3 linked regions of the Struthio camelus genome follow. The protein of the gene in region 1 interacts with the protein of each later gene in a pairwise test. Links are inferred from orthologs where the notes say so. Each region holds a gene or a part of one and is shown on either strand. Other genes may lie near its edges. The genes, in order: ZNF410, TSGA10 and SERTA domain-containing protein 1-like.

What was found.
Region 2: the proteins of ZNF410 (region 1) and TSGA10 interact in binary tests that used the Homo sapiens proteins (3 or more experiments, as listed by UniProt). The two-hybrid records come from large-scale screens. The link is inferred for Struthio camelus from reciprocal best matches to the Homo sapiens genes ZNF410 and TSGA10.
Region 3: the proteins of ZNF410 (region 1) and SERTA domain-containing protein 1-like interact in binary tests that used the Homo sapiens proteins (3 or more experiments, as listed by UniProt). The two-hybrid records come from large-scale screens. The link is inferred for Struthio camelus from reciprocal best matches to the Homo sapiens genes ZNF410 and SERTAD1.

What each region holds. Positions count from the first base shown.
Region 1 is NC_090946.1:57,211,563-57,221,252, forward strand, and holds the start of ZNF410 (zinc finger protein 410), read left to right. Parts: upstream 1-5,010; 5' UTR 5,011-5,639; intron 5,640-8,111; exon of another isoform or gene 8,112-8,230; intron 8,231-9,525; 5' UTR 9,526-9,684; coding exon 9,685-9,690. Other genes in the region: FBXO33 (F-box only protein 33), read right to left, coding at 4,179-4,609. UniProt on the Homo sapiens protein: Transcription factor that binds to the sequence motif 5'-CATCCCATAATA-3', and is specifically required to silence expression of fetal hemoglobin in adult erythroid cells.
Region 2 is NC_090942.1:151,239,779-151,249,364, reverse strand, and holds the start of TSGA10 (testis-specific gene 10 protein), read left to right. Parts: upstream 1-5,408; 5' UTR 5,409-5,471; intron 5,472-9,586. UniProt on the Homo sapiens protein: Plays a role in spermatogenesis. When overexpressed, prevents nuclear localization of HIF1A.
Region 3 is NC_090957.1:421,701-431,970, forward strand, and holds SERTA domain-containing protein 1-like, read left to right. Parts: upstream 1-5,930; 5' UTR 5,931-6,087; intron 6,088-7,920; 5' UTR 7,921-7,924; coding exon 7,925-8,638; 3' UTR 8,639-9,196; downstream 9,197-10,270. Other genes in the region: BLVRB (flavin reductase (NADPH)), read left to right, coding at 943-1,024, 2,742-2,903, 3,665-3,754, 3,906-4,037, 4,132-4,295. UniProt on the Homo sapiens protein: Acts at E2F-responsive promoters as coregulator to integrate signals provided by PHD- and/or bromodomain-containing transcription factors. Stimulates E2F1/TFDP1 transcriptional activity.

The sequences.
Region 1 (9,690 bases):
GATTTCCCTTTGGTGAATCCATGCTGACTACTCCTGATCACCTTCTTGTCCTCCAGATGCTTAGTGAGGACCTCCAGGAGGAGCTGTTCCACCACCTTGCCAGGGATGGAGGTCAGGCTGACAGGCCTGTAGTTTCCTGGCTCCTCCTTCTTGCCCTTTTGGAAGAGTGGGGTGACATTGGCTTTCTTCCAGTCCTCAGGCACCTCTCCTGATCTCCAGGACCTTTCCAAGATGATGGAGAGTGGCCTAGCGATAACATCCGCCAGCTCCCTCAGCACTCTTGGGTGCATCCCATCAGGGCCCATACACCTTCCTATCTTTTTTTGCTAGCAGCTAGAGGAAAGGCTATACATTAGGATTTCACAGTTACACAAAGAAGGAACTCAGAAATTTCCTACTGCATGATCCGTAGCTGCTTATTAGCTCCTGTATACACTGAAACGACTCACGGAAAGTTTATCACCCTCCTACCTGCCATTAATTTAGAACTTAGTTCTACAAAATCAGTTTGCGAAGGCACAGATGACCAGGATTCCCCCAAGAGCCAGTAAGAAACAACTTGTTCCTCCAGATCCTATTACAACACTTTTCAATAGAAATATAACTAGAATACTAATAGCTAAACAATAATATACTTTTTCATTTTGCTGCATTTGCTGTCATAAAGGCAGCAGCTCAAACTTATTAGCCAATGGAAGAGCTACTTGGAGATCACTATAAGCATTAATGTAATATTTTTAAATTAAAGACATCGTTGAATTCTAGAGGTTGGCCAGACCCTCTTGGTTATTAAAGCAGCGCTTTGGAGCAATATGCTGTCAGTCACAAAACAAAGTTTGTGGTGACTTAAGCTCTACCACAAATATGAACCAGATCTAGAAAGTATCGTCTTGGATAACTGTCAGCAGCAATATTTGTCAGAATACTACTAGTGTTTTTTTAACTATTTGTCTGCACTTAGTTCAGTTCCTTAAATCCTTCCCGTCAGAATTAGCAAAGATTGCTCAGAAATATTTTTCAAGAGACTTAACGTGCAGATTTCTAAGCAAAGTCTGCAACTGTATATTGTACAGAAAGCAAATACTTTTAGTAGCAGAAATATACATCACCATCATCCTGTACAAAGCAAGTATCTAAAAGCTGCATTAATTTTTATGAGTAGTGTGACAAGTCTTGCCTTAGATCCTTCAGTACTATAAACCGCCAAGGAGTCTTCTGAAGAAGATTTTTTCTTGAAGGGTGGTGGTGATGTTGTTATTGTATTGTTTAATAGCAACTTTATAAGCCCGCAATAAGATTACATAGTTTAAGAACACCGCGCAGTTTTACAAAATTAGATTTCTTGTTAGCTCAGCTCTTAAGTGTAAGAGGGAAGTTCTTTCAATTTCTCTGCCAAATAGCCATAAGACCTGACAGGAGTTATGAAAGAATCATCCTGTTTTCAACTTAATTCCAAAAGGAATGCATTTACTCTGATTCAAGTCACTAGAGAGGTTCCAAAATAACGGAAAGAGTTTTTTTTAAGTTAAATGGCTATCCAATGTACAATGACATACTGCAAACATAACAAGGAATATTATATTCATCTGTAAGACAGGGATAATCACAGAAGCACGGAAGTAAAGGCTGGATTACAGTCTCATTCCACAGACCAGTGGTATAGCTGAAGAGAGTACAGGTGTCACCAGACAGACAAAAAGAAGCACCAGGTAGGGCACGCCTTCAGTTCAGAGACACGGTCACAACAAGAACCAAACTGCAATTTGGCATAGGTTAGTATTCCTTCCTACCTCATTTCAATCTTAAAACTCTACTCGTTAAACTAAAAACAAGTCTTCAATGGAGAAGTATGCAGAATAATCAGCTACTGGTAGTTACCTTGCAAGAAAAAAAAAGGTGGGGGGGAGCATCAAAAATAGACTAAAGCTTGTCTATTCAAGAGGAAAAAAGGAGTCTATGCAGAAAGTAATTTTGAATAGAATGTCAAGCGTTTAAAGTAAATTCTGCCCCCCCCCCCCCACTCTTCAATTGCTCATCAAAAAATGCCTACTGTAATAACCGGGTATTCTGTGTTCCCCAGTCATAAATTATTCATTTCAAAACAAAAGAGCAGAATGCAAATGATTTGAAGACAGAAAGAAAATACAGTAATGCAAAATCCTGTCAAAGCTGATAACTTTTTACCTGTATCTTACCACTAGAATTGTATTAATCTACTGGAGAATAGCTACTGGAGAATCAATTATTTCTACTAAGTATTGTACAATAGTCTTCAGCAGTGAAGTGCGTACAGAATCTGCAAAAATACCTTTAGAAAACAAGCATCTTCATACAAGTTTCTGAAAAGGTCATGAACAATGAATCTTTTTCAAAATAAAAAATATATTTAAAAGATTGTTTGCAATGCATTTAATTTTGACAGTCTCATACTGTAGTGATACAGAGGGAGTAAGAAACGTCTAGTTTGTCCAATGAAAAACCCAGGTAATAGTTTCTGGAGATTGTTCACTTAAAAATTCCACGTTCGCGTCACTGTATTTGCCTTGGATCTGATAAGTTACCAACACCACTTCACCATTTTTCACTTATGACACGAGTGGGATTCCCCACAAAAGCAACAGTTAAACAAAAGCTTCTTAAAGGCAGAGCAGCATTATGGAAAGGCTAACGAAGACAGACAATCACCATTCACGCACAGAGGATTCACACGGCAAAAAATAAATTATACACAAAAGTGAGCCTGGACCAATGACTAGTTTCCAGAAATACGGTTTGCAGCTCTCAATCATCACAGTTACACCACAGGATTGGCCTGCTAGGCACAGCACAGCAAAGGAACTGAAAGTGAGACCTCACACATCACATTTACATCCATCTAGAACAAACGAGGAATTACATTTAAAGGTCTTGCTTCTTTATTTTGAATTGTAGCAAGAGAAAAGCCTCAAACTACTCTCTAATCCCTCTGGAATCAAAGATGAGCGGGTGGCCATACCATGATGCAACTGCAGAGCTTTCCCAACAGCCATCCAGAAGTTCTAACTTGGTCTAAAGACACCCCAAAATATTTGCAGCCTATTTTCTAGATAGGTGGAACTGTATGCATGCAGAGGGGAAATAACATTAGCCATTTCCTATCCCGAAATCTGCATGGCTTTCCAAACGCATCATTACCTAACTGTAATAAATTCTTGCTTTCCTGTCTCAGGTGCTGCCTAAAGGCCATGTACTACGACGATCTCTGAACAGATTTAAAAAAAAAAAAAAAGGTCTTCACACGCACATAAGATAAAGAGCATGTAAGTGCTTTAATTCTAAAGAACTCCAACCTGAGGAAATTAAGTATCTTAGTCAAAATAAATCTGTGAAAGGGCAGGGCAGAAACACATCTTAAGTCCAAAGCACAGGAAAAAACTTATTTAAGTTTAATGTGCTTAAGACAATCCTAAATGAAGGTTTTGCAATAAATAAAAACTTTATCTTGTTTAAAGCCGAAGCAAATCTCAATTTACCAGGTAACACAAGAGCTGGCATGGAAACTCAGTCTTCAAACAGCAAGATCCCTCATGGCTGGAAACGTTAAGTATTTTAATAAGAGCCGTACTTCCTTCCTCTCCCTCCAGAAACACATCACCAATACTACAACCTTAACCCTCCCACTAATTTTTCCCAAGTTTCATTTTTCTCAGTCACACAGAACTGGGCCAAAGAGATCTCCTGTTTCACGCCAAATCCAAATTCCCAGTGTGAAGCGCTGCATCTGAGCTGCATTTCTCTTTCCTTAAAGGAGACAACGAAGCTTTCATAGTTTCGTTTATGGCTTGTGCAGCCTAGCTGCCTCCCAAATAAACTTCGGTACTTATATTCGCCTTAACGCTACGGAAAAGGGTAAGGAGGAGGTTACTTCCCACAGCACGGCCACGCTTCGGCTCGGACCGCAGCAGCTCAGCGAGTCACTTCTGCAGGCTCCGCTTGTTTTCTGAAGCCCCAGCAAGCCCCCGTCGGGGCAGAGACGAGCGCTGGACTCCCCCCGCCGCCGGCGGGTGGCCGCGGCGCCGGCCGCTGCCCCGCGCGGCCGCCGCCGCCTCCCCGCCGGCCGGGCAACGGCCGCCGCCGGCCCCGCGGCGGGAAATCCCCCTCAGCGGCGAGGGGCCGCCCCGCCCCCCGCCCGGCCCTACCTGTTGTTGCGGACGCTGCTCAGCACGCACAGCACCAGCTCCAGGTAGGTCCTCAGCAGGTCCAGCCAGCGCGGGCACAGCGGCGGCGGCGGCGCCTCCCCGTCGGCCGCCGCCGCGGCACCTTCGCCCGCCCCCCCGCCGCCGCCGCCGCCGCCGCTGGGGTAGTTGTCGGCGGCGAACTGGACGCGGAGCTCGCGCACGAACCAGCCGCACTTGCGCATGAGGAACTCGAGGCGCGGGCGCTCGGCCGGGGAGACGCGGAGGCTGAGGCGGAGGCGCGGCCAGAGGGCCGGGTAGAAGAGGCACTCCCGCCAGTGCGAGCAGGCGGCCGAGGCCCGCAGCCGGTCGGGCCCCGCCAGGAAGGAGAAGATGTGCACCACCAGCTCGCTGGGCAGGGAGCCGGCGCCCACCGCCTCCCCGCACACCGACATGCCTGGCGCCGGCCCGGGCCCTGCTGCTGCTGCTGCTGCGGCAGCCACAGGCGGCGGCGGCCCCGGCCTCGCCTCCGGCTCCTGCGACAAAAACAACAACATCAATGACAAGGCGGAGGGGGCGGGCGCCGGCCGGGACGCGGCTACTGCCGGGACGCACCACCCGCGCCGCCTCCGGGGGGGGACGAGAGGCGCAGCGGGCCCTACCCACCGCGCCGCGGCGGGACCCTACCACCGAGCCGGCAGGAGAGGGTGAGGTGAGCGCGCCCGCCGGCACCGATCTCGGTTCTCGCGGGGCGAGGCCGCCGCGCAGGGAGGCGGAGCCACCCCCGGCGGGGGGTGGAAGGGGAATGGAACATACCACCCGTTCGAATGGGAGGCGGAGCCGGACCAACCGCCTCGGCGGGGGGCGCGGCGCGGCGCGGCGCTAACCCCTCCAGGCCCGCTAGCGGGGCGCCGCCTCCCCCCGGCCCGCCCTGCGGCCGTGCAGCGCCGACGCCTCGATGAGGGGCCGCCGCCGCCCTCCGAGCCGAACGCGAATTGGCCGGGCTGGGCCGCCGCGCAGCGCGCCGCCAAGGCCGAGCGGCACCTGGCCGTCTCCGAGCGGCGCGGCGCCTGGCGGAGGAGCGCCTCAGAGCTGCCGGCGGCGGGAGAAACTTCCTTCCTCCTGCAGGCTGTGGCAGGGCGGGGGGGAAGGAAAAGGATTTCGATTCATGGCAGGCGCTGGTACTGCTGCCTGACCTCACGTTCCGATTTCAGCCAACAAAATTACCTCAACAGGATGCCAACCCTGACTGCAGAAAACACGCTGACTGTGCAGGAAATGCTAAGCATAGCGAAGAGTTGACTTGTGATGAAGGCTGGATATGAGCCTGCACTGATACGCTAGCAAGTGGTCCAGTGTCCTATTTTGAAATCTTACCCGTTTCTTAAAGCTTGCCGGCTTTGTAATGCCCATTCCGACATGACGTGCAGGAGCGGAAAGATACTTGTCTTGTGCAAACAGACTCAGAAAGATTTCAAAAATCTGGTAAGTATTCATTCTGCAAAGGCTGAACATCAAAGTGAATTTAATCTCAATTGTTCATATAAGCTTTATGAATTTACTTTAAAACTTTATTGAAATAAATAAAATCCAGTACTGTCTGTATGTTATTATAATACAAGAGTTTACATAATACTGTATATTTGTTCAGAAATGTACACACAAAACAAAAGATGTGCTAAGAGACATAAAGCCTGTTGGCATTCAGAATATGGCATCACATTATAAACAGACTTATGAACAGCCAGACATACAACATATCTCTCCATTCACTCCATCTTCCATCACTTTCCCTGTCTCGCAGTGTGTGTGGGGGGGAGAATAGTATCATTTTATTTCTTGAATCTGTTCACAGGGGAAATAAATTTGAACCTCCTGTTTCTCTTTTATTAGAGATAAGCATCCCAGAGCAGCAGAAAGTAACATTATGGGAAATTCCCAGCTGGACAATTCCTCTCTGGTCAGGGACAAGTGCTGTTTCACATGCTTGTGTGAATGATAAGAATCTGTATAAATGACTCAGGGAAGTACTGCGCAACTATTACTGCACATTTCCCTGTCAGATTAAGCCCTCAGGTCCTCAGGCAGTAAAGATGCAGGAGATGGAAAGTTCTGAAGCATCTGAACTCATCTGGCTGAATTAAGCAAATACAAGGAACTTAGTCTCCTACATAGTTCCATATTTTAATATGTGCCCAACAACCCTACGTTGCTGGGCTCATAATAAGTCAAAGGACTTCCAGGATTACCAAATATCTTTATCTTAATGTAATCTGTAATCAAGTTTTACAATTCATTACCTGAGATTACTGACGTGATATCAGGACAAAATGGTTTATGAAGCTACTAGTTCTGTGTTTCTGGTTACCTTTGTTAGATGATACTGGATCAGCAAATGTGGCATGCTGGGGTCATGCCTCTCATAAGACAGGCAGCTTGCATGGTCACGTACTCAGCTTCTTCAGCTTACTGAGGTTATGCTAAAAATTAAAGCTCAGTAGCTCATAACTTCAGTTTTGTAGACTTGAAGTGAATAAATGGGTCTGTTTCAAGCTTCAGGTCATCTCAGCTATAACTAAGTGTTCGATATTATAGTACCAGCCTTTGTGAGGTCTCTGACCCCATCCCTTTGCATGGCCACTATGATGCCAAGACAACCAAAGCTATAAGGCTGCCAATTGGGGATGCTGAATCAGTTTTCTCCACCACTGACATCAGAAACGTACTTTAGCTTGACTGAGAATTGATTTCAAGGTGCAGGCTTATGTGAGTACTAATGCAGTGACTGCAAACTCATGGTAAATATATAGAAAAAAAGATTAGCCAACTTGCTTGCAGACTTTTAGGAAGTTACTGCTCAATTCCACCAGATAGCTGGTCAAGGGTCTTTTTATTGAGGCAAAGTTCTTAGCCCTCCATGAGCTGAACAGTTAGACCTGAGGAGCAACCACTGTGGATCAGAACTGAGCTGTGCACACAACTGAGTCCCAAGTAACCAGGCTCTGCCCGCCTCAGCAGCTCCCACTGGCTGGTTTCCACACAGCTGGGGATTCTAATTACTCAGCAGCGCAGACGCCAACACAGGCCTGCCAGTGCTCATTCAGCGCAACTCTGGCACAGGAGCCAGGAATCGTGTGTTTCTAAAGCTACAGAATACCTATAGCCAAGTTAAAGTTTACTGGACATGAAGGTCACCAGTTCAGCAGCTAATGTCAAGACGAAAGGCAGTAAACAGCGCTGGTTCAGCAGCTCTATCCTGCTAGCCTAGATATATGAAGATAAGGCTAATGAGGGAAAAAATGAGGTACAGGCTTTGGCAATTATTCACTCAGCCCCTTCTTCTTTGTTAGGTGCATTGTTAAGACACGTTAGGTTTCTGAGTTTACCAACCTGATATGCTTCACTTAAGGAGCTGCTGTGAACTTAGGAGTTCTCCATGACCCACTGCAAGAAGTTCACTTATAATTTGGAGCACAACATAAATGCAAACTAAATACTAACGGGAAACTAGTGCTTTTGCATGTGCTGTAACAAGCTGAAATAATGTCTTTTGTGATGATTTATATCGAGAAAAGGTAAGTGCAGCACTTAACAGTTGAACTTGACTGCAAGCTTCCTACCTAATCTGCATCTGTAAAAAATCTGTCAACTCGAAAGGGTACTTTAAGATGAATCACGGAGTAAACACCGCAGCCCTGGTGCGGGTCCGAACGGAAGCGGCAGCTCGCTAGCGAGGACCCTACTTGGGAGAAAAAGCAGAGCGCCCAACTGCCGCTCCGTTGTCCTCCAGCGGCCAGGGAGGCGGCGCGGGAGGCGCTCCCGCAGCGCGGCGCTCAGGGCGCCACACACGCGCCCACTTACCGAGCCGACACCGGCCCTCCCGGGGCGGCCCGGCAGCCCAGGCGACACCTCCCCCCTCCCGAGGGCCCGGCGGCGGCGGCCGGAAGTGAGGGCAGCGGGGCGGAAGGGGCGCTCCTCGCCGCGCTTACCATAGAGCTGGAAGGGTGGGGCGAAACCCCCAGCCCTGGCATTTCCGGTTCGACACTGCGTCACATCCGGGAGGCTCTGAGATGCCGGTAAGAACCGCGGGGGGGGGCCGGGGCCGCCTCCCCGGGACTCGCCGCCCCCCTGCGGGGCACCGGGGCCGAGCAGGCTGCGGAGCGGGGGAAGGGCCGGCCTCCCGAGTGGGGAAGGGGCGATCTCCCGGGTGGGGAGGGGCCGTCCCGTCCCGTCCCTCGCGGCGGCGCACCGGCCGCGGGGGGGGGGAGGGGCGGCGCACCTGCCCCGGGGGGGGAGGGCCGCTGCCGGGCCGCCCCCCCCCCGCAGTCCTGGTCCGACCCGCGGCAGCGGGGCCGGTGCCCGCCGCCCCCCCCTCCCACCCCGCGGGGCCCTCCCCGTTGAGGCGCCGGGGAGCCGGACCTGCCGCCCCCGCAGCCTCGGCCCGCGGGGCGCCGCCATGCCGGGTGCAGACTGAGAGAGGGCGGCGGGCGAGCGAACGGGAGTATCCCCCAGCCGCGGTTTCTGTTTCCTAGTCTGATTTATTCTGTTCTCGCTGTGCTTACTCTGTTGTCGCTAGACGGCTGGCAGAGGGTGAGGTCCCTGTACTGAGCGTGTTGCTCAACCTGCTTGTTGGGAGTGCTAGGGGAAGGCTTTCAAGTTTAGGTTTTTTTTTTTCTTTGCTTATACAGTATTACCATTATGTTTTGGAATTGATTCAATAGGATTTGTGATTGTGATGCAAGGAGAACTGTAGTTTGCTTCCTTCTCCTGTCACTAGCCCTTTCCAAGTAAGCAAAAATGAGAGCAGACAAATTTATTTTTCTTTGTAGTCTAAAGAAGAAATGTATTATATAGGTAGCATGTGTGTATTTGTGAAATAACTTTTTAAAAAGAATTTATGTAAAAAGTACCTACCCAGCTGTGCTCGTGAAGAAACTTCTGACAATCAGAAAATAGGTGAACGTCTTAATACATAGGGAAGGCAGAGGTTTCTTCATGACAGGTTGTACGTATATGGGTGTCTTTCCTCAACAATTTGGATAATCCTGCTGCTTTACAGGCTGGGAATTCAGCCTCCTTGTCTCTTGCGCATTTCATGTAGTTTTAAGTTGATCCCATAACACTTTCCAGGACAAACAATTTTCATTAAAAATTACATATTGCAAAGGAAATGTGGAAAATAATCTTTGAATTTCACAGTGTTAGGATGTTATTCTTTTGGCTCAGTGAGAATAGAAAGGCAAGAACATGGATAAATGAGTTTCCCCTATTCTTCAAGAAATATTTTAAGCTTGTTTGCAGCATCCACTGATGTTTTTGCTCTAGTTTCTTGGTTCCTATTCCTTTATATCTCTTTTTTTGTTTGTTTTAGGTTAAATTGAATATTTACCCAACACAGCTTCTTGCAGGAAGACCACCACATTGTTTTGCGTTTAGAAAAATATGAGAATAAGCAGGGAGCGTTGTTCTCTCTGAATTCAAAAATTTGTGCCTTGCCAAGGACAGCTGCAGGAATCGGAAACTTGAATCAATGTTA
Region 2 (9,586 bases), on another chromosome or scaffold:
CTGCAGCGCGCCCCGAGGGCTTGGGCAAGCGCTGCGGGCGTTACGGCGCCAGCCGTCTCCTTGCCGGCACGGGGGGGAGGAGGGGAGTCTCCGTGACTCCCCGCGGCAGCAGGCAGCGCCCCCCGAATCGCTACTCACGCGGCGGACGGGCGAGGCGGCCGCGAGCGCGTCCGTTACAGCCGTCGGGCGTCCCTCAGCGCCGAGCGCGCTCCTCAACGTCTTCCGGGTTGTCCCGGTCACGGGCGCGGGAAGGGCGGAAGGAAAAGCGGGTGGCACCGGCTGGGGCGGGGGGCTGCGGCGGGCTGCGCGACGGCGCGGCGGGCGGGGAGGGAATCCCGTGCGCCCGTGGCGGCCGGGGCAGCCGTCTCGGAGGAGGGGAGCGGCGCCGGGCCCGAGTAAGCGGTGCCCCGGCGCTGGGCGAGGCGCCTGCGGCTCCTGCCCCGCAGGGCGCGGGGCGGCCGGGACGGCAAGAGTGACCCGCTGCCTTGCACTGCGACACGGCGTGAGCTAGGGCTCTGCAGCCTGGTTTAAACAAAGAAACTCCCAAGGGGGGGACTGTGGCAGAGGGTTCTGCAATTGTACGTGGCATCGAAGGAGGTAGGTAGGTGTTGGTCTTCACTGCCTCTCTCAACGCAGTAACTGCGGATTATCAGGTTATGCCAGCAGGAGGCAGGTTCACAACAGATAAAAGCAGATGGTTCTTTGCGCTGGACCCCGCGGCGATGCAGTCTCTTGCCACAGGATGTTGCGGGTGCTAGAGGCATCCATAAGTTCACCCTAAGTTCAAAGGGAGACTTGAACGCGTTCTCACAAATGCACTGAGGCCTGTCAAGTACGTAAAAGGCATCCAGGGAGATACAGAAAGTAAATGTTGATGGCATAATTGGTGAATGAGCTGGAAACGAACAAAGGCGAGATAATTAAAGACATATTGCAGACGACAGATTGTCTTCAGATTTGTATTGATTTAAGCCATTCGTAAAGTCTCCCAGACCTTAGCCTAAACTGTTCTTCCAGAGCTGTTGTCCGTATTTGATTTACCCAGTAGGCCTATTCTCAGTACTACTGATTAAAATTTTTGTCGGTATCCATATGGGCAAAACTGTGCTGCACACCTCCAGGTGGTGTATACGTATTCACAAAGGAGGTATTGCGTGCTTTTGTGTCATTTCCTTTCAACGCTAGAGTCCTAAGACATGAAGGAATTGTAGAGGAGAAAGGTTGGGGCACTGGGTCATGAGAATTCACACAGGTGATTCCTCTTGAAGACCGGTTACAGACAAGTAATCTTTCTTCTTTCTACTTCTAGAAATAGGTGACTTGGGAAAAAACACTACGTTCATGTTTTTGTTCGGATGAAACAGTGAAATCATTTGAGGAAGCAGTTGAGTTGGGGTATGTAATTGGGTATTCATATGGTGACTTTACCAATAAAGAAAACTTTATAATGGAGCCCAAATTGCCTGTACTGTCTAATTGAAGTAACAATACTAGAACAGCTGTCTTTGCTGAAAGGTAAAGGAGAAAAAAGCAGACAAAGGGTGACAGGCTTTCAAGATTAAAGATACAAGCTTGAAGTTATTTCCTGCCAGAGAACTGGATCCTTAAGAGCGAGAACTTTCCTTACCAAACTCCTAAAAGAAGTGCATAGGTGTAGTAGGGTGAGATAAAGAACCCATTATCACATAAGTGCAGTGTTTATAAAGACAGCCAAATGGACCTTTACTGATGCACTGAGAGGTCCAGCTTCAGCCAATTATCTACAGTATGGGCAAAGAAGAAGAGATCATCTTTCACAAACACAATGCCGAGACTCTAGCTCATTTAGTGGTATAGGGTTGCATGATAAATTCTTTCTAGTGCTGACTAAAATATTTTTCATTTAGGGGGTGGCAAATACTTTGTAGATCCAGAAGACATCTAAAATTCATGCTCTGACCTGGAGAGCTCACAGTAAGGATATCTAAAACCGAAGGCAGCTGTTTTGGTTGTGGGGGATTCTGAAATCAGTTGTGCCTTGGCTGGTACGGGTTGACAAGATGATTCTTGCCCTGTCACACCTTGCTTCTGAAGAGTAGTCATAATTGGTAGTGTAGAGAAGCACTCATCAACCTTGACAACAGGATTAAAAAAGCATCTAACAGAGCCTAGCCTCGAGCAGAAGGACTGGCATTTTCTGTTGAAAGCAGCAGCAGAAGGGTATTCCATCTAGAACACTGGTCAGATCCATGCACTGCAGTGAAGTATTAAATATCCCTTGAGAAATCTGGCGTCGCACTAGATGACACACGGGTGAATGAACCTTCCAAGCCACAACTGAATGTCTTACATGTACATCCTTGTTTTTGGCATGGCATAAATACTCGCTTCGGATGCAGCATGGTGAGGCAGACTTACAGAGATGTTGGTCTAATAATTTTACCAGCACTTTTAACAATGTCACAAAGTTATACTGTAAGAAATATGCTCTAGTCACATGAGGTCCAGTGTACTATTTATGAACTCAGATTAGATGGGATTTGGGCTTCTTCAAGTGCAAAGAGTATGGATATCTTAAGGATAAAATCCATAAGATCCACAGTGTGTTTCACTGCGTTGGTACCTCTTCTGGATACATCCTTTAAAAACAAATGTCAGAGGTGGGTAAGTCCCCATACTCTTCTTCAATTAGAATGTAATTAGGATACATAGCCCCAGTCAAAACATGGAAGCAAGCATCTTGATGTGAACTTTCTCTGTAGCAAGAAAGTCATTAATACTAGAGTTGCTGTTAGGAACTTGAATTTGTGAATAGATATGTCCAGTGTAATTTCAGAATGGGTCTTCAGTTCCAGAAAACAACAGCTATAAGGAATGCTTCAGGGCAGCAAATTGAGGCCAAGAGGTCAACAGCTGCATGTTGAAAGCAGCCAGTAAGATCATGATGCCCTGATGTGTCGGTGATGGTTAGTGGGTTTTCTTAAAAAAGAAGTAGTTGTTTTGAGCCATTCAAAACGGGCATAACTTGTCAGTAAATCAGGCTGGTGGCAATTCAACTTTGCACTGGGGTGAATTACTCTATAATGCATAGGGCAAAAAGCACTTGGACATTGTCTATACAAATACTTCCCTTTTAGTGCTCAGAATATTGGGAAATCAGTATTTGAGGCAGGTAGCAGAATGCAAAAATGAGCCTGGATCCATTCATGCTGTCAGAGGAAGTGAAATGCATCTTGTGGGACTTTTGATGTTACTAAAAAAGAAAATGCCAGAGCATTTGTTTACATTTTGGCACTTAACTTTTGGAAATTTGCAGTATGTTGTTTTCCATTTTGCCATGAGGTGTCACTAAAAAGCATACTCTCAGCTGTCATACTCCTTGTTTCTCAAGTTGAGAACTGTGGGCCTAACCATGGAATTCTTTCACTTAATTAGAACTAGAATTTGCTAAAACGTAAAGTGTGCAGGACATTAGCTGAACATTTAAAAATGTCCTGGACCTGTTTCTCATATGCTGAAGGATAAAATGCACATGCATTAACAAATACTGTTCCTGAAAAAGTAGGTATTGTTGAGGACCAACCCAGCAAAATAAAGTATTTTAGCAATAAACAGAAAGTACAAATTTGTGAACAGGAACAGAAAGAGTATAAGGAAGGAAGAAATCTCCATGCTTGAGTTTTTAATCTCTAAGAAGAATATTTTATTTCAGAATATTATCCAAATACCTTAAAATAAACAATGGGAAGTTAACGTAGGATGCTGTAGGAATTCAGTGTATGTGGTAACATGTTGCCAGAGAACTACATAATAGGAAACGTTTATCGATGTTAAAATTGCATTATAGATTGCCAAATAATAGGTCTTGAAATAGAAAGTCTATTAGATTATATTATTAGACTTACTAGTTTGGTGCATAAAAAGCAACACAACTGTTTTGCTAACAGCATTAGCCAGCGTTAATGTTTACAAGAGAATTCACCATACATCACTTAGAGAAAAACACAGAAATACCAAACAAAACTAACTAAACATACATAATTTCACTCCTAAAATTATTTTTAATGAGGAAGAGTTTGGGTAAGGTTATGAAAATCTGAAATGCTATCTTTCTTTCAGAGATAAATATTAGATAATGCAGAGTCTTCTCTCGATGATTTCCAGCGTACCAAGGTCAGAAAGTAAGACCTGTAAGGAATACAAGATGCGAAGAGGACTGTTTCTGTTGCTGTTTTCTGGAAGTTCAAACCTTCCAATTTCTTCCCTGTCTTTGGGTGGGTCCTATTTCAAAGGTATTACTATCCCTTTTTCTCCAAAAAGGTATGAGCTCTTTCTGTGAATACTTCCTGATGGCAGCTTGCCTAAAATTTAGGCGCTGTCTCCAGAATATAAAATCTGTGCTAGTACGTCATAGGTAAGGGAGAACATTTTCTTCCAGCCTATCAGCTTGACTTTGAGACCGTCTTTGAGTCTCTTTCAAGGACTCTTATGTTTATAACCATTGCAGACAGGAGCAGGTAATAGGAGTCATAGGATTCAAACAGCCTCCTTATCCTTGTCACTTCGCTTTCTTTAAAGGCGCCAGAGCCTTTATTCATTCCCGTCTGCGCTATTCCAAGAAGAGATGTGCTAGAGGTGTTGTAAAGTAGAACTCCTGTCTTGGGGTATAAGAGAACATAAGAAATCATTTCTTTCATAAGATTCTGTTAGTGAGATAAAGAATAAACATGATTAGCCTTGTAATGCCTTAACATTCCAACTTTGCAGTGTTGGTATACGAGTTAATAAATTAGTCTTAGCACCAAGTATCCTAAAAGCAGCAATGAGCTGCGTCTGAGATTTTATCATACGTGCAAAGCTAATGCTTGACGACATCATGACATAGGTGTAATGTTAAAGATAGCAATAGTTTATTCTGGACCATACAACTGGTATATATATCTTACAAATACCTATGAGATGGGTTCTGGAGAGAAGATTTAATTAAAGGAAGGCTGTTTTCAGAAGATCAGTCTTTCCTACCTAAGGCTTTTCTGTTCCTTTCTGCCCCCTTCCAACCCTTTCCGTTGTTTCTTGCCCCTTTTCTACGCGCTCTGTCAAAGCTGTGCTCTCCCCCTTCCTTTGGGAATGAGCCCGTGAGGCCGGACCAGCGGGGCCGCACTGCTCCCCCCCCCCCCGGCCTCGCGGGGGAGCAGGCGGCACCGTTGCTACGGCCCTGGCCCGGCCCGGCCTGGCTCTCTGGGGGCCGTTAACGGCGGGCGAGGGCGCGCGCGTGTCGGGGCGGGGGGGAGGGGGCACAGAACGCCCGCGCGCGCGGCCGCCGGCGGCGGGCTGCCAGGAGCGGTTGGGCGAGCGCGCGGCAGCCCGCGGCGCGGGGCGCGACCGTTGGGCAGCGACGCCTCTCCTTCCCCTCCCCCTCCCCGCCCCCCCTTGCCCTTCCCCGCCCCCGCCCGTGGCCAGCAGGGACGAGGCAGCTTGGGCGCGCGCGGCGGGTGAGTGCCCGGTGCCGGCCGGCCGGCCGGGCAGGGCGGTGGGAGCCGCGGGTGCCTCGCCCGTCCCGGGCAGCCGCCATGAGCGCCCGGCGGTCCCCAGGGCGCCGGAGGAGGAGCGTGGAGGGTCGCCGCAAGGTAGAGACCCGGTGGGGCTGGCCTCGGGAAACGCTCCTGCAGGCCTGCCCCTGACCCTCCGTCCGTCCCTCCTCTCGCGAGGGCGAGAGGCACCGCCGGTTTTTACACCGGATAGGGCCGCAACGCTGGGGACGAAAACCTCAGCAGGTAGTTTATAAGGCAGCGAAGTGGAGGCCGCCTGAGAGTCAGAGGGTCTTAACTGCCGTGGTGATGGCAGATTGAACCGCCAAGTAACAAGACGAGAGGGCTGGGAGGAGCGTTGTTTCGTTTTCTGTGTTTTCTTAGAGACACAGTTTGGTTGGTTTTCAGATGATCGCACTTTTTGGGTTTTTTTTTTTTTTTTTGCAAGTGTTTGTTTGATATTTAATTGTAGGCATGTATATATGCTTGTCTTTGCACACTCAGTGTTGTACTGGCAAAATGCACAATTTTTCAATGAAAAATCAGAATTCATTGGTCCCGAGTAAAAATCACATGCTCACCATGTTGCTACATATATCGCTTTTTAATACGTTTATACATACACACATACTTTGTTTTTAAAGGAAATAGTATGTTTTGCAGTATACAAGCAGCATTCTTTAAGGCATTGTGAAAACTACTGTTGTTTTTATAGGATCAGCCAGGTTCATTTTGCAGTATTTAATAGTACTCTGGGGAACAAACAGGAGGAGTTAGAGGTTGGCATGCAGTTACAAACGAGGCTATGATCTCAGTGGGATCACAGAGATATGGTGGGATAGCTCACATGACTATAGGGCTGCAATGGATGGATACAGGCTCTTTAGGAAGGATGGGCCAGGACAGTGGGGAGGGGGAGTTGTCCTTTATGAGGGAACAGCTGGATTGCATGGAGCTCTGCCTAGGGATGGATGACGTGCCAGTTGAGAGCTTATCAGTGAGGATTAGCAGGCAGACCAGCACAGGTGATGTTGTGGGTGTCTGCCACAGACCACCTGGTCAGGAAGAAGTAGATGAAGACTTCTTCAGACACTGGAGGAAGCCTCATATTCACAGGCCCTGGGCCTCATAAGGGACTTTCACTACCCTAATATCTGCTGGAGGGACAACACAGCAAGGCACAAGCAATTCAGGAGGTTTCTGGAGTGCACTGGTGACAACTTCTTGACACAAGTGATCAAGGAGTTGATGAGAGGAGGTGCTCTGCTGGATCTGATCCTTGCAAAAAAGGGAAAAACCAGTTGGAGATGGAGGTTGGGGAGGAATTTAGGGACACTGTCCAAGCATGCAGGGATGGGGTTAGGAAAGCCAAAGGCCATCTGGAGTTGAGTCTGACGAGGGACATGAAGGGCAACAAGAAAGGCTTATGTGGGTATCTCAGCAGCAAAAAGAAGACTAGGGAAAATGAGGGCCCACTCCTGAATGGGGTGGAAGACCTCATGACAAAGGACAGAAAAGGCCGAGGTACTCAATGCCGCTTTTGCCTCAGTCTTTACTGGTAAATCCTGCATTGGGGAATCCTGTGTCCCTGAGACCACTGGGAAAGCCTCGTTCAAGGAAGACTTGCCCTTGGTGGAGGAGGATCAGATTAGGGAACAATTAAACAATCTGAATGTTTGCAAGTCCAAGGGACCTGATGAGATGCACGTTCAAGTGCTGAGGGAGCTGGCCAATGCCATTGTAAGGCCCTTCTCAATTATCTTTGAAAGGTCACAGCAGTCATAGGAGGTTCCTAAGAATGGGAAGAAAGCACATCACTCTTGCCTGCAGGAAGGAGGATCAAGGGAACAACAGGCTGGACAGCCTCACCTTGATCTCTGGGAAGGTGATGGAGCAAATACTCCTGGAAACCATTTTGAAACATACTAAGGACAATATTGGGAGAAGTCAGCAGGGATTTATGAAGGGAAATCATGCTTGACCAACCTGATAGTCTTCTATGATGAGATAACTGGCTTGATGGATGAGGGGAGAGCAGTAGATGTTTGTTTATCCTGACTTCTGTAGGGCTTTCAACACTATCTCGCATAACATCCTTAAAGACAAACTGAGGAAGTACAAGCTAGATAAATGGATCGTGAGGCGGACTGAAAACTAGCTGAACTGCTGGGATTGGCTCTGAGGGTTGTAATCCAGCTGGAGGCCAGTCACTAGTGGTGTACCACAGGGGTCAATACTGGAGCCAGTACTGTTTAACGTTTTCATTAATGACATGGATGATGGGACAAAGTGCATTCTCAGCATGAGGCAGATTATACAAAACTGGGAGAAGTGGTTGACACACCAGATGGGTGTGCTGCCATTCAGAGGGACCTTGACAGGTATCTCATCAAGTTCAACAAAGGGAAAGGCCAAGTCCTGCACCTGGAGAGGAATAACCCCATGCACCAATACATGCTGGGGCCAACTAGCTGGAAAGCAGCTTTGTAGAGAAGGACTGGGGAGTCCTGGTGGACAAGTTGAACGTGAGCCAGCAATGCGCCCTTGCGGCAAAGAATGCCAACAGCATCTTGGGTTGCACTGAGAAGGGTGTAGACGGTAGCTTGAGGGAGGCGGTTGTTCCCATTTATTCCTCACTGGTGAGACTACATGTGGAGTACTGTTGTCCAGGTCTGGGCTCTCCAGCACAAGAAGGACATGAGCATACTGGAGCAAGTCCAGCAAAGAGCCATGAAGCTGATTAAGGGACTGGAGCGTCTGTCGTACAAAGAGAGGCTGAAAGAGCTGGGATTGTTTAGCCTGGAGAAGAGAAGGCTCAGGGGCATCTCATCAATGGGTATAAATATCTGATGGGAGGGTATAAAGAAGGTGGAACCAGACTCTTTTCAGTGGTGTCCCGTGACAGGACAGGAGGCAGTGGGTACAAACTAAAACACAGGAAATTCCATCTGGACACAAGAAAACACTTCACTGTGAGGGTGGCTGAACCCTGGAACAGGTTGCGCGGAGAGGTTGTAGAGTCTCCATGCTTGGAGATTCTCCAAAGCCAATTTGATATGGACTTGGGCAACCTGCTGTAGGTGACCCTGCTTGAGCAGGGGGGTTGGACCAGATGATCTCCAGAGGTCCCTTGCAGCCTCCACTACTCTGTGATTCTGTATTGACCAATAGACCTATTGTATATGTTCAGTCTCTGTTGCAAGTGATTCTGAATTTAAAAAGTGAATGATTCAGGTTTGGGATTTTTTTTTTTTTCGAGTCTGTGGTTGGATCCCATGAGTTTTGTCACTGACTTTAGTGATTTTCTGTCTAATAAATGTTAATGTACTAGAAAATACTGTCACATTCACTTTTGTGATGTTTTTTGTGTCTCTTTTGTTTGAACATGGTATGTCATACAAGTGCAGTCCTTTGCGATCCCTGATAAAATCCTATTAAATTTACCTGAGGCAGGATTATGCCTCTGAAATTCAAAGTGCTTTGGATTTTTTTTTTTTTTTGCTGCTTCTTTAAGGATAGGTTTTCTACTCATTTTCTATGTAGTATTTTAGAGGACGAGGTTTGGGTGAACCAACATTTGAAATGAATTTTAAAAATGTTTGTCCACGTTATATGGTATGATTGAATAGTACGTGCTTTATCATCCTCTTTTTGGATTCTGGGATCTAACTACATTGTTTGACACGGTTGATCAGAAGCATAGCAAACATTTCCTGCCCTGGAAAGCCCAAGTTTTCAAATATTTGTATGCAGTGAAAATTATGTTATAGTACATCGAAAGCCAAGCACTTCTGTACGCTTATAAGATCATTGCATGTATTTAATATGCTGCAATCCACATTCACATAATTTGGGGCTGTAGTCAATTCTCAGTCTTATTTTCCAGTGGTAATTTTTTTTTTTTAAATGATTGCTGCATACTCTGAAAGGTTCTATTTTGAGTGTATTTCTGTTTTTTCTTTAGACTAATACTAAGGCAAACATCTGTAGGAGCATATCACTCTTCTCTTTCAAAGTGATTCATTTTATCACCAGGTACAAAACTGACATGCCAAAACACTGGAAATAATTACACTATT
Region 3 (10,270 bases), on another chromosome or scaffold:
CTGCGCACCGGAGCGCGCCGCGGCTCGGCCCCGCCGCCGCCCCGGCAGCCAATCCCGCCGCCGCGCAGGACGCCGGGGGTCGGCCCAGCCCCCGCCCCGCCGCCGGGGCTGCGCCGGGGCCCCCCCAGCCCCGGGCAGCAAGGAGCCGGCCACCGCCGGGTCCCCAGCGGCGACGCGCCCGGGCGGCAAGGAGGCGGCTGGGCGACCGGCCCCCCGCTGCAAACCGGGGCTGGGGGCTGCCGCCCCCCGGGCTCGGCTCGCCCTGCCCTCGGCCGTGCAAACCCCGGGGGTGCCCGGACGGCGATGCACGCACCGGGGATGCAGAGGCCGGGGCTGCACGTACCGCGGTTCACGCACCGGGAGTGCCAGGACCGCGAGTGTACGTACCGGGGCTGCAGTTACCGGGAGTGCACGAACCGGGGTGCACGGAGTGGGGTGCACGTCCCGGGGGTGCAGATCCCAGGGGTGCATTTACCGGCGGTGTACGTACCGGGAGTACACGTACCGGGAGTGCATATACCAGGGGTGCCCGGACTGGCGTGCAAGGACCGGCGTGCAAACCCCGGGGGTGCCCGGACCGGGGTGCACGTCCCGGGGGTGCAAGTCCCAAGGGTGCATTTACCGGCGGTGCACGCACCGGGAGCGAACGTACCGGGCTGCGCGCAGCGGGGGTGCATTTGCCGGCAGTGCAAATCGCGGCGGTGCACCTATCGGGGTGCACCCACCGGGGGGGGCGGCGCTCGGCGGCTCCCCCCGCGCACGGCTCGGCCCGGCGCCCCGCAGCCCGGAGCAGCGGGGCCGGGCGCGGCGAGGGGCCGGTCCGCCGGCGGCCGGCCCCGTGGGTGGAGCGAAGCGGAGGCCCCGCTCCGGTTGCAGCGAGGCGGCGGCACAGCCCGGCCGGCGGGGACACAGCACCCGCGGCCGCTCCGCTCTGCTCCCACCATGGCCACTTGCAAGAACATCGCCATCTTCGGTGCCACCGGCATGACCGGGCTGGCCACGCTGGCACAGGCGCTGGACGCGGGTAAGGGGGGCCGGGGCGCGTGCCCGGTGCGGGGGGTCTGCGCTGCACCCCGCTCGCCCTCCCGAAATCCCCCTCCACCGCCCGCCAAGGCCCCAGCTGCAGCTGCCGCAGCGCAGGCGAGTTCGGCAACGGGAGGCCGGTGGGCGACAGGGGGGTCCCAGGCAGGCCGAGCTCTGCCCTGGGCTCCCGAGGGCACGGTGGTCCCTGCCTCCAGGGCTGGGCACTGTGGGAGCCCCCCGGGGCAGAGCCCGGCCCGCAGGGCCCTGGTGCGCACGGGGTGTCTGTGCCCGCCGCCAGGCCCTGCTGCCCTCGCGCGTGTTGCACATGCAGCCTCTCGGCCAGGAGCCTGGGCCAGGCGGCAGGTGGGAGCCCGCGATAAGGCCGGGCTGGCGTTATCGGGCCGGGCAGCCCCTCGCCGGGGCCGTGCACCCGGCTCTGCCCTCGCCGTCCCCCCCGGCCGGCCCTGCCAGGCTCCGAGCCCAGCAGGAGCTCAGCTCGCTCCGGTCCCCCAGCCCGTGCACGAGGCTGGTGCGCCGAGTCTCCTGCCTCTGCCGGGCCGTGCCGGGCTCAGCACCTGCCCCTCGCAGCCCGGTGTCACCAGGGTGCTTAGCTGGATCCCCAGCTCTGGCACTGGGCACTGCAGGTCGGTCCGTGGGAACCGTGTGCCTCTGAGGCCTGGCCGGGAGCTGGGCAAAGCTGAGAGCCATCCGGGGCAGGCAGAGCCCCTTGGGGACGGACAGACAGAGAGAGCCCTTTAGGGACAGACAGAGCCCCTTGGGGACAGACAGAGCCTGTCTGGGGCAGGCAGAGCCCCTTGGGGACAGACAGAGCCTGTTAGGGACAGACAGAGCCCATCCAGGATGGGCAGAGCCCCCGGGAACCTGCTCGGCCAAAGACCGTCACAGACAGCGTCACGGCAGCCCCACACAGCCCCCGTTTCTGGAGACAATGCTCAGCTCTGTGCAGGAGTTGAGTCCCGGGAAACTCAGCGCAGGTGCCGGCGTGACTGCACCGGCACGGCCCTGCCCCGTGTCCTGCCCCCAAGCGCTTCCCTGCGGGAAGGGGACGGGCTCCGACCTGCTCTCCTCAGCCCCAGGGTGGCTGCGTTTTGGTGCCCCCCCCCGCCCCCCCCCCGCTCCGCAGCAATGTGGAAGAGGGTTTGGGGCCCTGCGTCCTGGGTGCAGGTGGAAGCGCCCGGAGAGGTGCTGGCCGAGGACTCCTGGGCCCTGGGTTGTGCGCCAGGACGCCTGGGCCCTCCTCCCTGCCCGGCCCGTGACCGGGCACGTGAGCTGGGGCCAAACGCTTCCCCTCCGGGCGCCTCGTTTCCCCCTGCGCCAGGAGGAGGATGGGGAAGTGCCGGCCAAGGGTGACCCACAGGCCGGCTCGGGGCGGCGGAGGCTCCGCACCCCCCGGCCCGTCGCCGAGCCGGCGCCCAGGGCAGGCGCCCGCCGCGCGCGGTGCTGAGTCACGCCTGGCCAGAGCTGACTCATCATCCCGCGGCCGGGCCGGGGAGGTGGACACCTCCGCGGGAGCGCTCGGCCCCTCGGCGCCCTCCGCCGCCCCCCAGGGCCTCGGGCCCCCCCAGCACCCCGCACCCTGCCTTGGCACCGGCCTCGTCCCCTGCAGCGGCGCAGCTCGGGGCGCGGGTGCCCCCGGGCACGGAGCCCAGGCGTCCGGGCTGCCGGCCGCTCGCCCACCGGCGCCGTCTCGCGCGCAGGGTACGAGGTGACGGTGCTGGTGCGGGACCCGGCACGGCTGCCCCCCGAGCACCGGCCGGCCCGCGTGGTCGTGGGCGACGTGCTCAACCCCGCCGACGTGGACAAGGCCGTGCAGGGCCAGGACGCCGTCATCATCATCCTGGGCACCCGCAACGACCTGAGTACGGTGACCCCCCGGGGGGGCCCTGCCACCCTGGGCACCCTGCAAACCTGTCCCCCCAGGGCACCCCCTACCCTGCAACCCCGTGACCCTGGGGACCCCCCACACTGTGACCCCATGACCCCAGGGGAACCCCCACCCTGTGACCCCATCACCCTGGGGACCCTGCACCCTGCACCCTGTGAATCCATCACCCTAGGGACACCCCCACCCTGCAACCCCATGGCCCTGGGGGAACCCTCACCTTGCACCCTGCCACCCTCAGCACCCTGCACTCTGCAACCCCATTGCCCTGGGGGACCCCCCCGACCCTGCAACCCCATCATCCTGGGCACTGTGCACCCTGCAACCCCATTGCCCTGGGGGACCCCCCTCCCTGCGACCCTGTCATCCTGGGGACCCCCCCACCCTGCGACCCCATCACCCTGGGCCCCCTGCAGCATGTCAGCCTTGGGACCCTGCACCCTGCAACCCCATTGCCCTGGGCACCCTGCAGCATGTCACCATGGGCACCCCCCACCCTGCAACCCCATTGCCCTGGGGGACCCCCCTCCCTGCGACCCCGTCACCCTGGGGACCCCCCCACCCTGCAGCATGTGAGCCTTGGGACCCTGCACCCTGCAACCCCATTGCCCTGGGGACCCTGCACCCTGCGACCCCGTCACCCTGGGGACCCCCCCACCCTGCAGCCCCACTGCCCCGGGAGACCCAAGCAGCTCCCGAATGCCTCCGCCTGCCCCCCGACACCCGCTCTGCACCCAGGCCCCACCACCATGATGTCCGAGGGCACCAAGAACATCGTGGCGGCCATGAAGGCCCACGGCATTAGGAAGGTGGTCGTGTGCCTGTCGGGTAAGGAGGCTGGGGGGGGCGTCCCCAACCTGGGGGACCCGGATCGGGGAGAAGGAGCCCAGACGTCCAGGTGCTCCCCCATGACGTCTGGGTGGGGGGGCCGGGACGCCGGGATGCTTGCCGGGGTGCTGAGCCCCCGCCTCGCCCCCAGCCTTCCTGATGTGGGACCTGCAGAAGGTGCCCCCCAAGCTGCTGCCGGTGACGGAGGACCACATCCGCATGCACCGCATCCTGCAGGAGTCGGGGCTGGACTGCGTCTCCGTGATGCCGCCGCACATCGCCGGTGCGTGGGGGCGTTGCCGCCGGGGTTGGGGACCGGGCGATTTGGGGGAGATGCTCCGGGATAAACGAGCATCCGGTCCCTTCTCCCGCTGCAGACGACCAGCCGCTGACGGGGGATTACACGGTGACGGTGAACACGTCCGGCGGCTCCCGCGTCATCTCCAAGCACGACCTCGGCCACTTCTTCCTGCAGTGCCTCACCACCTCCGAGTACGACGGCAAGAACGTCTACCTGTCCCGGCACTACCCCAAGGTCTAGGGCGCCCGGCGCGGCGCCTCCCCACCGGGCATCGCTGCCCGGCGCCCACCGGCTTCCCCGGCCCCTGCCACCTCCCTGCGCCGACTAAAGAGCCGCTATTTTTCTGACCGAGCCTGGCCTGACCCTCTGTTAACGCCAGGCTGCGCAGAGCGGGTCGGGCTCAGGGCCGGAGCCGTGCCGGGGTGCTGGATGCGGTGCTGGGGCTCTGCCCCCTGCAGCACCCGTGTCACCCCGTCGGCGTCGGCCGGCATCGCCGTGAGCATCCTCGCTGGCACCTGGTGAGCCCCGTCCGCCCCTCGGGGCTGCCCGGCGCGGGCCGGCCGTCTCCGGGGCGTGCGCCCCAGCGCGGTGAACCGCCTCCTGCCCCATGAGTCAGCCCCGATGCCGATGCCGCGCCGGCTGCGGCCCCGGCAGGACGGGTTGGGCCTGTCGGAGCGGTGCAGGAAAACGCCCCGGTGCCGGTGCCATCCCTCCCCTCCGGCTTCCTGCAGCCAGGCGAGAGGGGCACGCGTCCGCCGGCCTCACGGTGCTGCGTCGCTGCGTTTTGCACCGCCAGCCCTGTGTCGCTGCGTTTTGCACCACCGGCCCCGTGGTGCTGCGTCGCTGCGTTTTGCACCGCGGCGCTGGGGCCTGCCTGCCGCTGACCCTTGGACCCGCCGGGGGCGGTTTGCAGCCGCGACCGCCAGGGCGGAGATAACCTGGCCCGGCCCCGGGGCAACGACAGGCAGCGGGTGCGCGAGTGCCTGGGGCCGGCGCGTGCGTGCACCCCTGCCAGGGCACTCGTCCCAGGGAGGTCACGTCCTTCACCACCCTCCGCTCGGCCCCGGGCCCGTCCCTCTGGCCGTGAACAAGCTGCAGGCTGCAGGGGCGGCCATGCAGCGCGCTCCGCACCCGGCGCCGGAGGTCCCGGTCCAGCCGGGGCAGCTCCCCGGAGGCTAGCAGTACGGGAGCCGGGTGCAGCGGGAGCGGGGCCCGGGGACCCCACAAGCCAGCGGGCTGACAGGCAGTTTCACTTCTGAGCGGCAGTGGTGCTGTTTCGTTTTCCTCTTAAGTCATCTGGGCTCTTAGCCTTCCCCCGGCTCCTGCAGGCTGGAGCACTGCCCACACAGCTGCGCTGCTGCCCCAGGGGCCAGGACGGGGCAGGGGCAGGGGCAGGGGCAGGGCCGGGTGGATTCCCATGGGGGCAGGAAAGGGGCGTGGGGCTGGGTGGGCCCCTGCGGGGCCACGAAGAGATGCACCGGGGCCACAGGCTAGGCCAGGTGCATTTGCCTCCTGCTGCTGCTGCTTTGGGGTGGGAACGGCCAGCTGGGGGGGCTGGTGCCCGGGCTGGGGGGGCCGGGGGGGCTAAGAGCAGGCCCGGCCCCCGCCCGCCCCGGCTGAGCACCCGCAAACTCATCGCACGCGGCCGCCCGCGCCTCCCCCGCCCCCGGGCTGAGTCGCTCACGTCCGCTCTCCGTATGCAGATGAGGCCCGCGCGCCTCAGCCAATCAGGCGCGAGCCCAGCCGGGCCTCCCCCGCCCCGGCCGCGACGTTGGTCCCCGCTTCCGCCCCGCTCTTCTTGTATGCAGATGAGCCTCCCTTCCTCCGTCGCTGATTGGCCGAGCGGCTCCCGGCCCCGCCCCGACAGCCTCCGGGGCGTGGCCTGCGCCGGGCGGGCAGATGTAGCAACTCTCGGGTGGCCGAGTCGGCTGGCGGAGACGGCGAGGGGAGGGGGAGGGGGGCGGGGGATGCCGGCTCCTGATTGGCTGCGCGCAGCGTTCCAGACCCCGCTGATTGGCCCCTGAGGAGCCGGGTATGTAAATGAGGGTCCCCGGGGGTCCCCGCGCGCCGGGTCTGGGGCGCGCGCTGGTCGGGGGGGCCCGGCGAGCGGGCGGCGGAGGGTCCGGCCATGGGCGCCCGGCCGCGGTGACTCACCGGGGAAGGGGCGGAGGCTCCGGGCCGCCGCTGCGTGACTCACCCGCCCCCACGGCTGCCTCTGCCCGCGGGACGGGGACGGGGGGGGCGGCACCGGGGGCTGCACGCCGGCCCGGCGCCCCGGTGCGGTGCGGCGCGGCGCGGCGCGGCGCGGCGGGGCCGGGCTTCCCCCGTGCAATGGTACGGCGAAGGGTGGGGGGCGCCGCCGGGCTCGGGGGCGAGGGACCCCTTCGCAAGCGGGAGTGCCCGCGGTTTGCAAGGGAGAGGGTGGCTGGTTGTTAGGAGGGGTCGTGCGTTTGCAAGGGGGAATCCCCAGGTTGCAAAGGGGGGGGGGCTTTCCCTGGCGTGTTTAGGGGTCCCCGGTTTGCCGGGGGGGTGCATGGCAGGGGGTCCCCAGTTTGCCTGAGAGGGGATCCCTGGTCTGCATGGGGATTGTCTCTGGTTTGCCACAGGGGTCCCCGATCTGCATGGGGGGGGGAATCCCCACTTTGCATGGGGGTCGTCCCCAGTTTGCTGCAGGGGTCCCCGGTTTGCATGGGGGGGAATCCCTGGATTGCATGGTGGAGGGTCCCCGGGTTTGCTCTTGGGGTCCCCAGTTTGCTGTCAGGGTCCCTGGTCTGCATGGGGGGAAATCCCCAGGTCGCAGGAGCTGTCCCTGTTTTCCCTGGATTTCCCGGTTTGCAGGGTGGGTGCGAAGCAGCGGGTGCCCGGCCAGCTGAGCTGCCCCCTTCCAACAGCTGGTGCCGGGGCAAGGGCAGCGGGTTTGGGGCAGGGGCCGTGCTCCCCCTAGGCACTCAGTGGGGGGGCAGGAGCGAAGATGCCATCCTGCAGACACCCCCTGTGCCCGGGGAGCTTTCAGGGGGCAGCGGCACCCTGGGGGGCTGCACCAGGACCCGTCGGGGCTCTCTGGCCGTTGGCAACCTGGAACACATCCCCATCCTCGCTGGGGAGCCCCAAAGGGGCGTGCGGGGCTGTGCCGGCGGCAGGATGCTTGCGGAGCCGGTGCCACGGTGACGGTCGCCCTGGGGCTGCCTGGTCTCCTCCCGGCTGACGAGGACGGGGGTCCCTGCCCGGGGACGCGATCAAGGGGTTCCCGGGCCGTGGGACCACAGCTGTGTCCCCTCCCCGGCAGGCGGCTCCTTCCCGTCCCTGGGGAGCAGCTTTGCGCTTTCGGGGGGGGTATTGGGGCAGCAGGGTGCATGGGAAGGTGACGGGGTGGGTGAGGCTGGGACGCCCCTGGCCGGGTGTCCCCAGGCCTCCACAGAGACGGGGGGGGACCCTGTGTCGTCCCCGCAGCGGACCTGGGCGTCCTGGCCCTTCGGGGTCGGCGTCCCAGCTTTGCAGCCCTCCAGCCCAGGGCTGGGGTGCAGGTGACCTGGGCCCCTGCCGGGGACCTGGCTGGGCCCGGACGCCTGGGCCCTCTCCTGGGGCTGGCCGGCGCTGGCTGCCCGCTCACTCGGCTCGTGGTGACTAAGGCGCCCGCACGGAGGGGGTGGTGGTGTCACCAAGACAACTGCCGTCTGCGTGCAGCGCCAAGCGCCGTGGGAACGGCGAAAAGCCGCTTTTCTGCTGCCGAAAAGCACCCTCATCCCCCCCCCTAGCGCGGCCGATGCCCCTCCGCCCCGGCCATGCCGACCCTCTCCGGCGCCCTCCCGGGGGCCCCGGCGTCCGGGCCGGCCGCGCTGACCCCCTGCCCGCTTTGCTCCCGCAGACCCATGCTGGCCAAGGGTGTGAAGCGGAAGCACGGCGAGATGGAGGACGGGCAGCTGGCGGCCCCCGCTGCGGCCCCGGCCCCCGCCGCCCCCTCCGACTCCCTCTTCAACATCTCCGTGCTGAAGCTGCACCAGAGCCTGCGGCACGTGGAGCCCAACCTGCGCTACCTCGTCCTGGTGGCCAACACCCTCCGGCGCCTCCAGGACCACGCACCGGCGGAGACCCAGGGGCCGGTGCCCCCCGGCCGCCCCCCGGCCGGCCCCGAGCCCCCGGCCGGCCCCGGCGCCGCCTCTCCGGACCGCAGGGACGCCCGGTGCCCGGCGCCCGAGGACGAGCTGCTGCTCTCCGGCTGGGACGCTTCGCTCTGCGCCTCCCTCTCGGGCGGGCTGGAGGGCGCCGAGACACCCGGCGGCACCCCGGGCCCCCCCGCGCCGCCCCAGGACGACGCGCCGCCCGACGTCCCGCGGCCCCCGCACCCCTTCTTCGCCCCCCTGGAGCTGCTCGGCTCCACCGGCTCGCTGCTGGAGGACAGCCTGGAGGGCATCTTCGAGGACATCGACACCTCCATGTACGACTGCGACGTCTGGTCCCCCGCCAGCCTGGCCGGCTTCAAAGCCTTCTCCGGGGCGGACGAGGAGGGCCAGGACGGGGGTCGCCTGGACATGGACGACTTGGACTACCTGATGGACGTGCTGGTGGGCACCCACGCCCTCTGAGGGGCCCCCGTTTTAACTTATTCTGGACTCGGGCCGGGCACCGCGCGGCGCGGGTGCCGCCAGCCCGCAGCGTGCACCGGGACGATGCACCGTGCGTGGCACCAGCCCAGCGCGCTGCACCGCTGCGGAGCCGGGGCTGCGATCCTGCCTCCTCCCGGGGGGCCGGGACCCCTGGCTGCAGCCCTGCGATGCTGGGGAGAGGCTGGGGGCTGCTCTGTGTGGTGACGGGCTCCCTGCGTGGTGCCGGGCTGCTTCATGCAGTTCTGGGCTGCTCGGCGCGGTTCTAGGCTCCCTGTGCGGTTCCAGGCTGCCCCACGTGGTTCTGGGCTGCTCCGTGCGGTGCCGGGCTGCTCGTGGGCGCAGAGCTGCAGGAGCCGCTGGCTCGGCCGGAGCCGAGGGACGGTTCAAGCAAGCAGGTTTGGGGGGCGGCGTCGCCCCTGCCCGGGGCAGTGGGTTGGGGACCTGCAGGGCAGTGGGGGCCCCGCGGGGACGTCGGCTGGGCGCGCTGCCGCGAACTGTGCGCTGCTTGGAAACGAGGATAATATATACCCGACCGGCGCCTGGCTGCCTCCTGCGACCGTGCACCGCCGCGGGGCCCGCTCTCCTGGCCCCCAGCTGAGTCCGGATGCAGGGAGGTGCTGCGGGATGCAGGGGGGTGCATGGGATGCGGGGATGTCCCGCGGGATGCAGGGGGGTGCGTGGGATGCAGGGATGTCCCATGGGATGTGGGGATGTCCTGTGGGATGCAGCGAGGTGCTGCGGGATGCGGGGATGTCCCATGGGATGCAGGGACATCCTGCAGGATGTGGGGATGTCTGATGGGACACAGGGAGGTGCTGTGGGATGCAGGGACGTCTCGTGGGATGTGGGGAGGTGCTGCGGGATGCAGGGATGTCCCACGGGATGCCGGGAGGTGCTGCAGGACACGGGGACGTCTCGCAGGATGAGGGGACATGCCATGGCACAGCCCAATTCCTGGACCCATAGCGCTGTCCCCATCCCTGCATGGGGGTGGAGGGTGATGCCCGGACACCTGGGCCCCCTGCCCTAGGGGACGCCGCCGCCGGGGTGCCGCGGGCTCGGCTCCGGCCAGGCGGCAGCGGGACGGGAAGTGATTCAGGCCGGCGGCAGCCTGCGGAGCCGAGCCCGGCTTCCTGGGCTGAGTCAGCCGCTCCGGCGCGGCTCGGCCGGGCGCCGCGCGGGGCCCGGGGACGATGCCCTGTGGGGGGACCGGGGGCAGAGTCCGACCCCGGCTCGGCGGCCGGCCGCCACTGCTTGGGGCTTTGCACCAGTCCGGCTGGGGGGTGGGAATGGGAAGGTGGAAACCGGCCCTGGAGGCCGCGGCTCCAGCCGGGAAGGGCTCGTGCGAGGCCCCGAGTGTGGTGGTGCCCGGCGCCGGCAGCCGCGGAGGAAGTGACACAGCCCCGAGGAATGATGGCACCCGCCCGCGCCCCGAGCCGCCGGGGAGGCTCCGGCACCGCCAGCCCGGAGCCGGCCCTGCTGCCGGGGGCGCCCCGAGCCCTGCTCAGGACTATGCGGGACCCCCGGGCACCCAGCCCTGCTCAGGGGTGCAGGACCCCATGGGTGCAGCCCCATTTGGGGGTGCAGGACCCCTGGGTGCCCAGCCCTGTT